3 linked regions of the Cricetulus griseus genome follow. The protein of the gene in region 1 interacts with the protein of each later gene in a pairwise test. Links are inferred from orthologs where the notes say so. Each region holds a gene or a part of one and is shown on either strand. Other genes may lie near its edges.

What was found.
Region 2: the proteins of Gfap (region 1) and Kiaa0408 interact in binary tests that used the Homo sapiens proteins (3 or more experiments, as listed by UniProt). The link is inferred for Cricetulus griseus from reciprocal best matches to the Homo sapiens genes GFAP and KIAA0408.
Region 3: the proteins of Gfap (region 1) and Ribc2 interact in a two-hybrid assay, tested with the Homo sapiens proteins (2 studies listed by BioGRID and IntAct). The two-hybrid records come from large-scale screens. The link is inferred for Cricetulus griseus from reciprocal best matches to the Homo sapiens genes GFAP and RIBC2.

What each region holds. Positions count from the first base shown.
Region 1 is NC_048600.1:115,224,026-115,228,141, reverse strand, and holds the start of Gfap (glial fibrillary acidic protein), read right to left. Parts: upstream 2,907-4,116; coding exon 2,452-2,906; intron 1,622-2,451; coding exon 1,561-1,621; intron 1,340-1,560; coding exon 1,244-1,339; intron 266-1,243; coding exon 104-265; intron 1-103.
Region 2 is NC_048595.1:247,808,118-247,812,546, reverse strand, and holds the start of Kiaa0408 (uncharacterized protein KIAA0408 homolog), read right to left. Parts: upstream 2,871-4,429; 5' UTR 2,804-2,870; coding exon 2,630-2,803; intron 1-2,629.
Region 3 is NC_048595.1:381,976,509-381,979,133, reverse strand, and holds part of Ribc2 (RIB43A-like with coiled-coils protein 2), read right to left. Parts: intron 2,326-2,625; coding exon 2,098-2,325; intron 1-2,097. UniProt on the Homo sapiens protein: Microtubule inner protein (MIP) part of the dynein-decorated doublet microtubules (DMTs) in cilia axoneme, which is required for motile cilia beating.

The sequences.
Region 1 (4,116 bases):
GCAAGCTGGTCACCTAGATAGGTTATTTTCCAAGCCTCCTTCCCTATTCCCCAGTGTGGATCAGGAAGGGCTGCCTGGAAGAGGCAGGCTAGCCCACGGGTACCTTGGACCGATACCACTCCTCTGTCTCTTGCATGTTACTGGTGGCCACTGCCTCGTATTGAGTTCGAATCTCTCTCAGGGCCGCTGTGAGGTCTGGCTTGGCCACATCCATCTCCACGTGGACCTGCTGTTGGGCCAGCTGCTCCCGGAGTTCTCGAACTTCCTAATAGGGTAAAAGAAGGGGTATCTCAGGCCCAGGCTACAGCTGGGGCTCTCCCAGCATCACACTTTTGCCTGCCCAGATATGTCACTGGCTCAGGGAAATGGGGCAGCCTTTACTGGAGGAAGTGCATAGCCTAAGCTAATGGGCATGTGCCATTTAACCTTTAACCCTAGCATGTGAGAGGCTGGAGCAGGCAGTCCTCTATGATTTTGAAGCCAGTCTGCTCTACATAGAATGTTCCAGGCAAGCCAAGGCTACACAGTGAGACCCTGTTAAAAAGTAGAAATAAAAACCCTAATGGGTATGGAATGAGAATCTGAGGGCGTCTTCCTCCCAGGGCTGTGTGTTCAGGAGCCAGGCATGAATATGTCCTGCATCCTGGCTCTGAGGTCAGAGAACAGAGGGGTGTGTGTGTGTGTGTGTATTTGAGACAGGGTCTCATGGAGACCAGGCTGATCTCAAATCTTCTGTGTAGCTGAAATTGGCCTTAAACACTTTGAGCTTCCTACCTCTACCTCCCAAATGCTGAGATGGCATGTCCTCAGAGGGGTTTTCATGACTGTCTCCCATCTTCCTGGTGACAAGTGGGGGAGAGGGTGAAACCAGACAGGCTGTGTGACTTTGGGGTGGTTGTTTTGTTTTGTTTTGTTTTTAACTTCTCTAGGATTCAACATCCTTCCTGTTATGAAAGGAGACCACAAGAAGGGCTCACAGAGCTGATGTGGAGAAGAAACTAAAGACCTGGCCTTGTGCTTCTCAAAACATGGTGGTGGGGGAGGGCCTGTGTGCATTTTCCAGGGGTAGGAGACACTGGAAAACACCTCCCTTGGTCTCTCTGTCTTCACTCTTTCTCTTTCATTTTCTTTCTTCCTGACAGTTGGCTTCTCTGTTTCCCTCTCTAAGTATCTATCTGTCCATCTGTCTGTCTCTTTCATTTGAAGATTCTTGTTTGGCCTCCCTCGTTCCACCTGGCCTCACCTCCTCATGGACCTTCCTCAAGAACTGTATCTCCTCCTCCAGCGACTCAATCTTCCTCTCCAGGTCCAGACGGGCCATGGTAGCTTCATCTGCCTCCTGGAGTGGGGAGAGGGCCTTTTTTGACCCCAGAGCCCACCCCACTACAACCTCCAGTTTTGTCTTCTCCCTCCTTGTGGGGGTCTGGGAAGCAGGCAACTGCAGTGAAGGGTTAAGTTCAGGGCCTATGTCTGGGTGGGCAGTCATTAACCCCACCCCCAAGCCCTACCCCCAACACACACACCCCCACCCCAGCTGCCCATCCCTCCCATCTCTCTGACCTGTCTATAGGCAGCCAGGTTGTTCTCAGCCTCCAGCCTCAAATTGGTTTCATCTTGGAGCCTGGGATATGGGACACAGTATGGGCTTAATGCTTTCCTAAGAACTCTTATTAGATCCCTGTCCCAACCTCTATGGAATTGACTGTCATAAAACACTCTCACAGGACCCACAGAGTGGCAGGAGACGTAAGGAGCAGAGGCTTCCTAAACAGAGGCCCTGGCTGAGAGAGTAAGCAGCAGATAAGAGTTTCTGCCTTAACTCATTACTGAGGTGCCTTATCGGGGTTGGTGCACCTGCTCATGCTCGCACAGGCGCATCCACCACCATGTGCACGCTTTACAGACACCAGTGCACCTCCTGCACTATATGGGCACACGAATGTCCACCACTCAGCAAAGCACCATGCCCCAGAGTTCCACCTTTTAGGACAGATTGTATCATGACCTCTCCTTCACAGCTATGACAAAAACTGGTGACAGACAGTCATCGGGGTTCTGCACCCAGGCCTGCCCTTTCTTTCATTCTCTCTATTTCAGAGACCAGAGCCTCCTTGTGGACATAAGCCTTCACTCGTCAGATTCACAGTGCCAAATGAATGAAAAAGCAGAGCACCTGCTGGCTGGTGCCCTCGCTGCCCACACAGCCTTCCCCAGTGTGGAGATGTCCCGCGTGCCAGGCTCCCTGGCAGCAGACCTTTGGGAATCAGATCGCTGAAGTTCTGGCCTCTCCCTGCCTATTCCCATCATATTAGGGAGCAAAGATAGCTCTCCCTTTCCCAGGCATGGGGAAATGCAGCAGCTGAAACGCCGAGCCCTTGCCAGAGTCAGTACCCTTCCTTATAGGCATCCCTCTCGGTTCTGTCTAGCCATTTTCCCTGACCCCCTCCTCACTTCTGCCTCAGGGTGCCCAGGTCCTGTGCCAGATTGTCCCTCTCCACCTCCAACCGGGCACTGTTGGCAGTAAGGTGGTCCAGCCGCAGCCGCAGCTCTCGCAGCTCTGCCTGGTAGACGTCCGCCAGTTTGGTGGGCTCCTTGGCACGAAGCTGGTTCAGCTCAGCTGCCAGTGCTTTGTTTTGCTGTTCCAGGAAGCGGACCTTCTCGATGTAGCTAGCAAAGCGGTCGTTGAGCTCCATCATCTCAGCGCGCTCACTGGCCCGAGTCTCCTTGAAGCCAGCATTGAGAGCCCCGGCCAGGGAGAAGTCCACCCTGGCAGGGAGTGGAGGAGGCATTCGAGCCAAAGAGAAGCGTGGGATGGTACCCAGGTGGCGGCTGGGACCCAGGCCCCTGACCACCGTCTCGGAGGAGGCATAGGAGCGACGTGCAGAGGTGATGCGTCTTCGCTCCATCCTGCCCTGGCCCTGCTGGCTCTGGGGATGTCAGAGTTTTATGGAGGAATGGGCTGAACTGGCTCTGCCCTGACTTCCTGGCAGCACCCCACTGAATAGACTGAGGGGGTGGAGCTGGGCCCTAGCCCAGCTACGGGGAGAGCTCCTCTCACCCCACTGAGGTCTTTGTACTAGAGTCAAGGTTTCCCTGGGCACACCAGCTTGGCTTCACCAGTGATGAAGAAAAACCCCTTTCTGGTAAGATGGGTCAAGAGAGGGCTAGAGTGGCTGAGGAAACAGCCCATAAATTGCTTGCCTGTCAAGCATGAAGACTCAAGTTCTAGTCACAGAATGAAAACAAAAGGTCAGGTCTGACGATGTGTACTTGTAACTCCAGTGCTGGGGAAAGAAAACCAGGAGGATCCTTGGGTCTCACTGATTAATGGGTGAGTTCCAGGTCCCAGAGAGAAACGATGTCTCAAAGAAAACCAAGGCAACAGTGTCTGAGGAACAATACCTGATGCTGACATTTAACCTCAGTGCACATGGGCCCACACAGGAATATCTTGCAATGAACAAGCATTTGTGTGTAGGTGCACTCGAGCATGTGAGCAAACACGCACGCGCGCGCACACACACACACACACACACACACACACACACACACACACGAGAGAGAGAGAGAGAGAGAGAGAGAGAGAGAGAGAGAGAGAGAGGGTGAGCACGAGCTGGGTTGGGTGAGCTGCCCCCTGCTCTTAGCGTCTAGAAGCCAGGGCTACCCTCATTCTGCACTTTTCCATGGGCCTGTGAGATGCTAGGAACTTGAAGAATCTATGCCCTGCCTCCAGGATCAGCCTATATGATAGTTTCCTGCTGACTCCCATTCCCAACAGGTGTCCAGAGTCCTCTCCCTGCCATCCTGTCTTCTCATTCCTGGAGTTCAGGAGTGAAGGGCTGGGCTTGGGGCCCTCCCTATGACTCCAGGGCCAGCCTGGGCCTCTAGCTGTGTGTCTAAGGGGCAAGACAGAAGGAATGCATGAGGACCCTAATAGGGTACAATAGCAGACCTCCTTCCTGAGCCCCTCTTTGGCATCGTGTCTAGCCTACTGGGCCATTTCTTCCTGGTCCAGCTTCCCTTTACTCCTCCCCGAGCCTGGCCCCTGACAGCTCTACAGAGTAGCTATGAATGAGTTGGTTGTGCATGCTGGAATCTTCATTTTTGTAACACCCT
Region 2 (4,429 bases), on another chromosome or scaffold:
TAACATACTCAATATTTATACATAATTCCAGTTGAGAGAGTATACATAACTAATACATTAAGGATACATGGTGCTTTTAGTTCCCCAATATTGATAAAGATTTTAATCACTCATTTCCAAACTACAGCAATAAATTGATTGTTTTGATGCCTACAAAATTAATTGTATTGAATTGTTCTTCAACATGAATGATATAAGGAACAACCCCCAAAGTCCCCTGTTAAATTTAAGGATATTGTTGGCAGTGTTTTCCCATTTTTAAGAATTCCTGAATAGACTTGGCATGGTGGCACTCACCTTTAATCCCAGCACTCAGGAGGCAGAGGCAGGAGAATCTCTGTGAGTTCGAGTCCAGCCAGGTCTACAAAGCAAGTTTCAGGACCATCAAGGCTGTTACACAGAGAAACCGTGTCTCAAAACAGAACAAAACAAAAAATTTCCTGAATTAAAAAGAAAATTGCTATATTTTTAGACCCAGGGGAAATTGTGCTATTCACAACTCATGGCTTTTCATTTTGCATGTTAACTATATTGGGTTCTAGAAAGACCCACTCCTGTGTATTATATACAATTCCTTTTCATGTATTCATCTAATCCTTCAGTTTTTGGTTTGGTATAATTTAACTTATATGTAATTTTATGCCATTATAGCTTCCCAAAACTCAACTTAGTTGAGAAATTAAAACAGCAGCAGCAAGAATTCTGCCCCCCACCCCCTGAAACTAGTACTAGTACACTGTAACAAATGGAAAACTTTTTCTTTGGTATAGGAAATTTTTCCTGTTCAATAGCTGAATGACCAAATGACACAAGCAGAAAAGACTGCAAGGGAACAAAAAAATTTCAAGATTTCTATCAGCTAAGTTATACATGATCATAGTTCATAGGGAATTATTCCAGGTTTCAAATTGTCTGAGTACATATGCCTTGGATTTTCAATAGCAATTGTAATGAATGCGGAGAGGGACTCAGCAGAGATACAGGACCATCTTCATACTGGATGCTTTCACTCAATTGTATTATTACTTAAAATCACCAATGTTACAGATGCACACTCTGGAGTCTGCGTCTTTCTAGCACATGGCTCAATATCCTGAAAGAATTTAATACTAGAGCCTAGTAACTTTAAACACACGTACTGTACTTGTTAAACAACATATTTGCTAAAGAAAAAATACTTCACTATGTTTGAACCATACAATTTCCAAGCACCCCCCTTGTGGTTTTCTCAGTATTTTTATCTTAGCTTTGTACACTGTAGTCCATATGTATATAACCAGAAGAAGACACACAGTGCTGGCATTGAGATATTACCTATGGGCAGTATATGTAGCACATTTTTATAAATATACTCTCAACTATGCTGTTTTAATCACAGGTAGGAAAGCCCTTGGATAAGGGAAGTGAAGGACGCTAGTACAATATGTTTTTCAAATGTAGTAGTAAAAGTAGATTTATTTTGGAATCATTAATCACAGATGTCTCACCTTTATTATTCCCTAGAGGAAGGATTTAATACCCCCATCCTTTATTTTCCATTATGGCATACCACTTGTGTATTTTACTCACAACCTATTTGTTTTCTGTTAATCAGAAAGAAGCATGGTTGCACTGTAAACATACAAAGCACTTACTTTGCTTGTCTGCTAAAGAAAAAAAATAAGGCCCGGGAATCTGTTAAATAACTGTCTTGTTAAGTTGAAGAAACCAAAAAATTCAATATTATTTATTGAATGAAATATAGCAAAATTAATATACATAAATTTCAGTTGGAGCAAGCTCGAAGGCACACTAAAGTAAATGTCTGAAGGAACATTTCATGCAAAAGTCGAGGATGACTAGGGGGTGATTAATGAGAATAAAATTATTGACTGTGTCAGAGCCATGATATGTCATTTAAAAAATTCATTTCCTATTAACACATTGCCAGAATAAATCTGATGTCCTCTACCATTTTTCTGTCTGACATATGACATACATTTGATGCTTCTGAGTTATTTGACAATATTTGGTATACATTAGTCATTTCTAAGAAAGGAGATGGTATATGATTATCAAATTATAATCTTGATACTGTATGCCCCACCAATTATTTATTTCTTGCATTTTCATTCTAGGCTGTAGTAGCTGAGGAGTCATACAGAACATATACATTACTTTTGGTACCATAAACCTGAAATCAGAGAATACTAAATTGATACATTGTAGAGCATCAGTTCTCAACCTGTGGGTTGTGACCCCTTTGGGCTCACATATAAGTTAGTATACATGTAAGATATTTATACTATGATTCATAACAGCAGCAAAATTACAGTTACAAAGCAGCAACAAAATAATTTTATGGTTGGGTGGGCTCACCACAATATGAGGAGCTGTATTAAAAGGTCACAGCATTAGCGAGGCTGAGAACCATTTCAAGGTCTGTATTTTCATGTAAGACTATAAAATAAATGCACTCTCAGAGACACCACTAGGTGTGGTTATGCTGGTTTTGATCTAGCGTCATAAGACGTTTATTTCTTTGGTGGAAGAAGAGAAATGAAAGTAGTCCCCAATAGAAAATGAATGTCAGCAGGATTTTCACATTTAGCTTGGAGTTTACAGCATCTTTAAACAAATCAACTCATACCTCTTCAATCTTCTGCTGCATGACCTTCCACTGACTTTCCCATTCTTTTCTTTCATTATCAAACTGGTCCAGTAATTCCATTTTTTCCTTATGCCAGTTGGTCTCTGTGTTCTCCCACTGCTTATGCAGGTCCATGGCAACTGTGTGAGTGTCAGCCAAAGGGTTTCTGCTCATCTCTGCCTTCTCTCAGCTGTTTCTTGGAAGTGTGGAAGTGTTTGGTTTGAAGTGGTCTCACTTGCCTTTTAAAATAAAGCCTGAGATAAACATAAGAAGACAGAGTCCCAAGTTCACGCGCTTTGTGGAAATATTTTGTTAAGACCCAATGACATAATTAACTATAGAAAACTAAACAGGAAAGAAGCAAGATCCTCCCCAGGTCAAGTGGAAGGACTGTACCAAGACCCAAAGTAGGTCATCTCAGAAGACTAGTGTCTTAACTACAAACCATGCAAATATTAAAATGAAAAAAGATCATTATTTTCCTTTCTTAAGTCAAATCTCAAGTATTATCATTATTCTGTGAGACACATCTTAAAACTTACTCATGGCCTCTCTTCTTTCACCTGGACTATACACGTCTTGAATAATAACTATAGGAAACTGAAGAGAAGTTTTCTTATGCTACACTAAGTAGTGACCAAAATGACTTGATTTCTAACATTCAGGATATTAATATTTCGGGCTTGATGAGACAATTTAAAATCTTGGACTTAGGGGCTAGAAAGATGGCTCAGACCTCACAACTGCATACTGCCCCTACAGAGGGGCCACATTTGGTTCTCAGCTCCCTTAGTGGGTGACTTACAACCACCTGTAACCCCAGTTTCAGGGAATCCAATATCTTTTTCTGAATTTTGTGGACACTTGCACTGACACGTGCACATATCCTATCCCCAAATATACACATAGTTAAAATTAACCTTTAAATACCAGATATATAATTCTGTTATAAGCTTTGATATTTTTTACACTAAAGTGAGGATATCCATAGCATTATTATGAACTTTAGATAGTATAATAAATACACAGTAATTTGAGAAATTAAAAAATACTTTGGACTTTAAAAATCTTGCTTTATCTGAAGAAAGTTTTTATCAATAAAATCATGTATCTTTGGAGTGAATAGAAAAGCTTATTGGTAATGCACCAATTTTATTTAAAATAACTGTGCCAATAAGAAACAGAGTTATGGGTAACTTGGCAGGCTCACATGATTAGCTTGTCAAGGGCCTGGGATGAACTCCAGCACATACATGTATGCAACAATGTGTGCATGTGCATCCACACACAAGAAAGAGAAGAAAACAAAAACCAAACAAAACCCAAACTCTGATGCTTCATTTTACTAATACATGGTCATAATGCTATACCATTTTCTGTTACTGATGCACGAATTTGCCAATAGTCAGTGTTGTGGTGTTCCTGGAAGAACTAAGTCTGTATGATTATGTAGCAAGAACAAGTTTGCACTCGCCAAAGACAGATGCATATTTCACACCCCATATATTATATGGCAATGAAAGATTAATTTTGTCAGGCCTTTCCAGTTAAGATAGGAATGAATTATTATAGACTAGAAGGAATTAGAAACATAACTCTGTATGCAGGCTCTGCTTCTTAAAAATAAAGAAACAAACAACAAAAAAAGTCTATTAATGGTAAGATCTATATTTTCTCAAAAACATTTGCCATAGTTTTTGCATATTTCCTTGGCACTCACAATATCATTACTGATTCAGTTAGCAAAAGTAAACAATTTCAAATTTAGTTACAAACATGCTCTCATGACCCCTCTGTAAC
Region 3 (2,625 bases), on another chromosome or scaffold:
ACAAAGCACCAGAAGACATGGAGCAAGGGCCTGAGCAAGAATCTTTGTTTGTTTGTTTGTTTGTTTTGTTTTTCAAGACAGGGTTTCTCTGTGTAGCTTTGCAGCCTGTCCTGGCACTCACTCTGTAGACCAGGCTGGTATCAAACTCACAGAGATCTGCCTGCCTCTGCCTCCTGAGTGCTGGAATTAAAGGTGTGGGCCACCAATGCCCAGCCCTGAGCAAGAATCTTAATGTGGTCTTTCTCGCTTTGTGTGTTCCTGCCTTCTAAATCTTCTAGATTAAAAATTGGATCAAAATACTGGGTTTAGAGCCAACCTTCATTCCACAGTCCAGCTGAACAGATGTATGACAGACTGACAGAGCCTTCTGCCATTCCTGCCCTGTTGTCTCCTCCCAGGCCAGCCTTCCCTGCAGCCAATCACAGAGTGATCCTCCCTCACCCCACCAGCACTTCTGCCTGGTGGGTTGCTGAGGGGGCAGTCCACATCCTGGACTGTGGTGCAGGGGTTCCTGCACTACCCTCCAGGAACACTTTTCCTTCCTTGACCTCCAGACATCCTTCTTGACATCCATCTACCCACCTCTTATCCAGGTACCTTTAGCAGGTTCCTGCTTTGTAAATGAAGGCCATGCCTGAGCCCCAGACCTCAGGGCTCCTCTCCTGTCTCTTCACCTATGGTCACACCCAGGACTGCTACCGTATTACTTTCTGTAGATGACAACTCCCAAACATAAGGCTCTAGCCTAGTCCTTGTTCTGAGACCTGATTATACACCCTGCTTCCTTCTCTGTTTCTCCCCTCTTACACCTCACCTGGAAATTGTAGACAGAAAATGTAAGAGTCCCCAGTAGCCATCCTTAGTAAAGAACCACTAGGCCAGGTGGTGGTGGTGAATGCCTTTAATCCCAGCACTCGGGAGGCAGAGGCAGGTGGATCTCTGTGAATTCGAGACCAGCCTGGTCTACAAGCGCTAGTTCCAGGACAGTATCCAAAGCCACAGAGAAACCCTGTCTCAAAAAACAAAAAACAAACAAACAAAAAAAGAATCACTAGTGACACATTTCCCAATGTCCTTTACAGTTGGAGCAATTTAAATGTTGTCCAATGAAACATGTCTGGAAATGTCTTGTGAAACTCCTTAAAAATGTTATCCTTACTTCTCTTTCTCCACTGTTTGCTCATGTATGCAATGGTTGGCATCTAAGCAGCCATTTTGCACAAAGTTAGAACCAGGCGCCAAGGATGGCAGAATACAGTGGCCACAGAACTTCTCTTCAAGCTTGAGATTGCTTTGAGGACTGATTACATACAGATTGGATTCTACCTTGTTTAGAATGTTTTAGCTTGTGCTTTTTGGTGTTCTTTTCTTTTGTCACATCAGGCAAACCTAATCCCACAGATGTCTGGTGGACATTACACAGTTAACATATGCAAAGTTGTGCTCATGAGCCCCCACAACCCGAGTGCCCCTCCCACCAACTTCCCATCTCTGTAGACACAAGTTCCATCCTCCAAAGGCTGTAGTCATCCTCTGCTCCACACATCATGTGTGACCATTGTATTTGGCTCTTGCCTGCCCACACCCCCATGGGGAATATCCTTCTGTATGTTGTGAATATATGTTTTTCTTATTGAATAAAACTGTTCTGGCCAGTGGACAGGCAGAATGGAGCCAGGCAGGAAGTATAGGTGGGGCTACCAGAGTAGGAGAGTGCTGGGAAGAAGAACAAGAGTAAGTCAACAGGAGACATCATGTAGGGAAGGTAAGACACTCAGGTATTCTATGATAAGCCAACACCACATGGAAATACCTATGTATTAATAGAAATGGGTTAATAATTAAGAGAGAGCTAGCTAATAAGAAGCCTGAGCTATCAGCCAAACAACTTATAATTAATATAAGCCTCTGTGTGTTCATTTGGAACTAAACAGCTGTGGGACTGGGCAGGACAGAAACTTCCATCTACACCCCCCCACACACCAGAATGAAAACTGCCGTGGTAGAGGATTTCTCAAAGTGAGTATTGACACAGGAGCTGGGTGTCAGGGCAATTCAGGGGCACAGAGGTGGCTCTGAGGCCCAGGAGGGGCTCACCAACTTTTCCTGGATTTGTTGCTTCTGAGTGTAGCGTATTTCTTCCAGTTGCTCCGGGCTCATGCCCTTCCAGCGGTAAAGGACCACTTGATGAGGCCCAAAGGAGCTGGTTGCCTGCTGTGAGCTCTCAGTCAGCAAGTCGCTATGCAGCAGGTTGGAGATCTCAGTCATGTTGTCCTCTTGCTCTTGTTGCTTCTCTTGCCTCTTCCTTTCTGCCAACTCCATAGCCTGTGCAGAGAAGGACCTTGGAATACCCTGGAGTGACTTTAGGGTCAAGACCTCATCTGGGCCCTGGCTGCAGGCTGGAGACTATCAGAGCTCTGTTGGGCAGTGGCTGGGCTTTGGGGCATTCCCCACCGGTGTGTGTACTACTATGGGTCTCTGCATCAATTTGTCACAGCAAGGAGCTTCTCCACTGGCTCATCTCCAGTATAGGGCAGTGTATATCCTAAAAACCTTTGGACATCTGTAGGCCTCTACCACAAACTGCCACAGTGGTGACTTCTAAAGGGAGAAGCATACGACTGC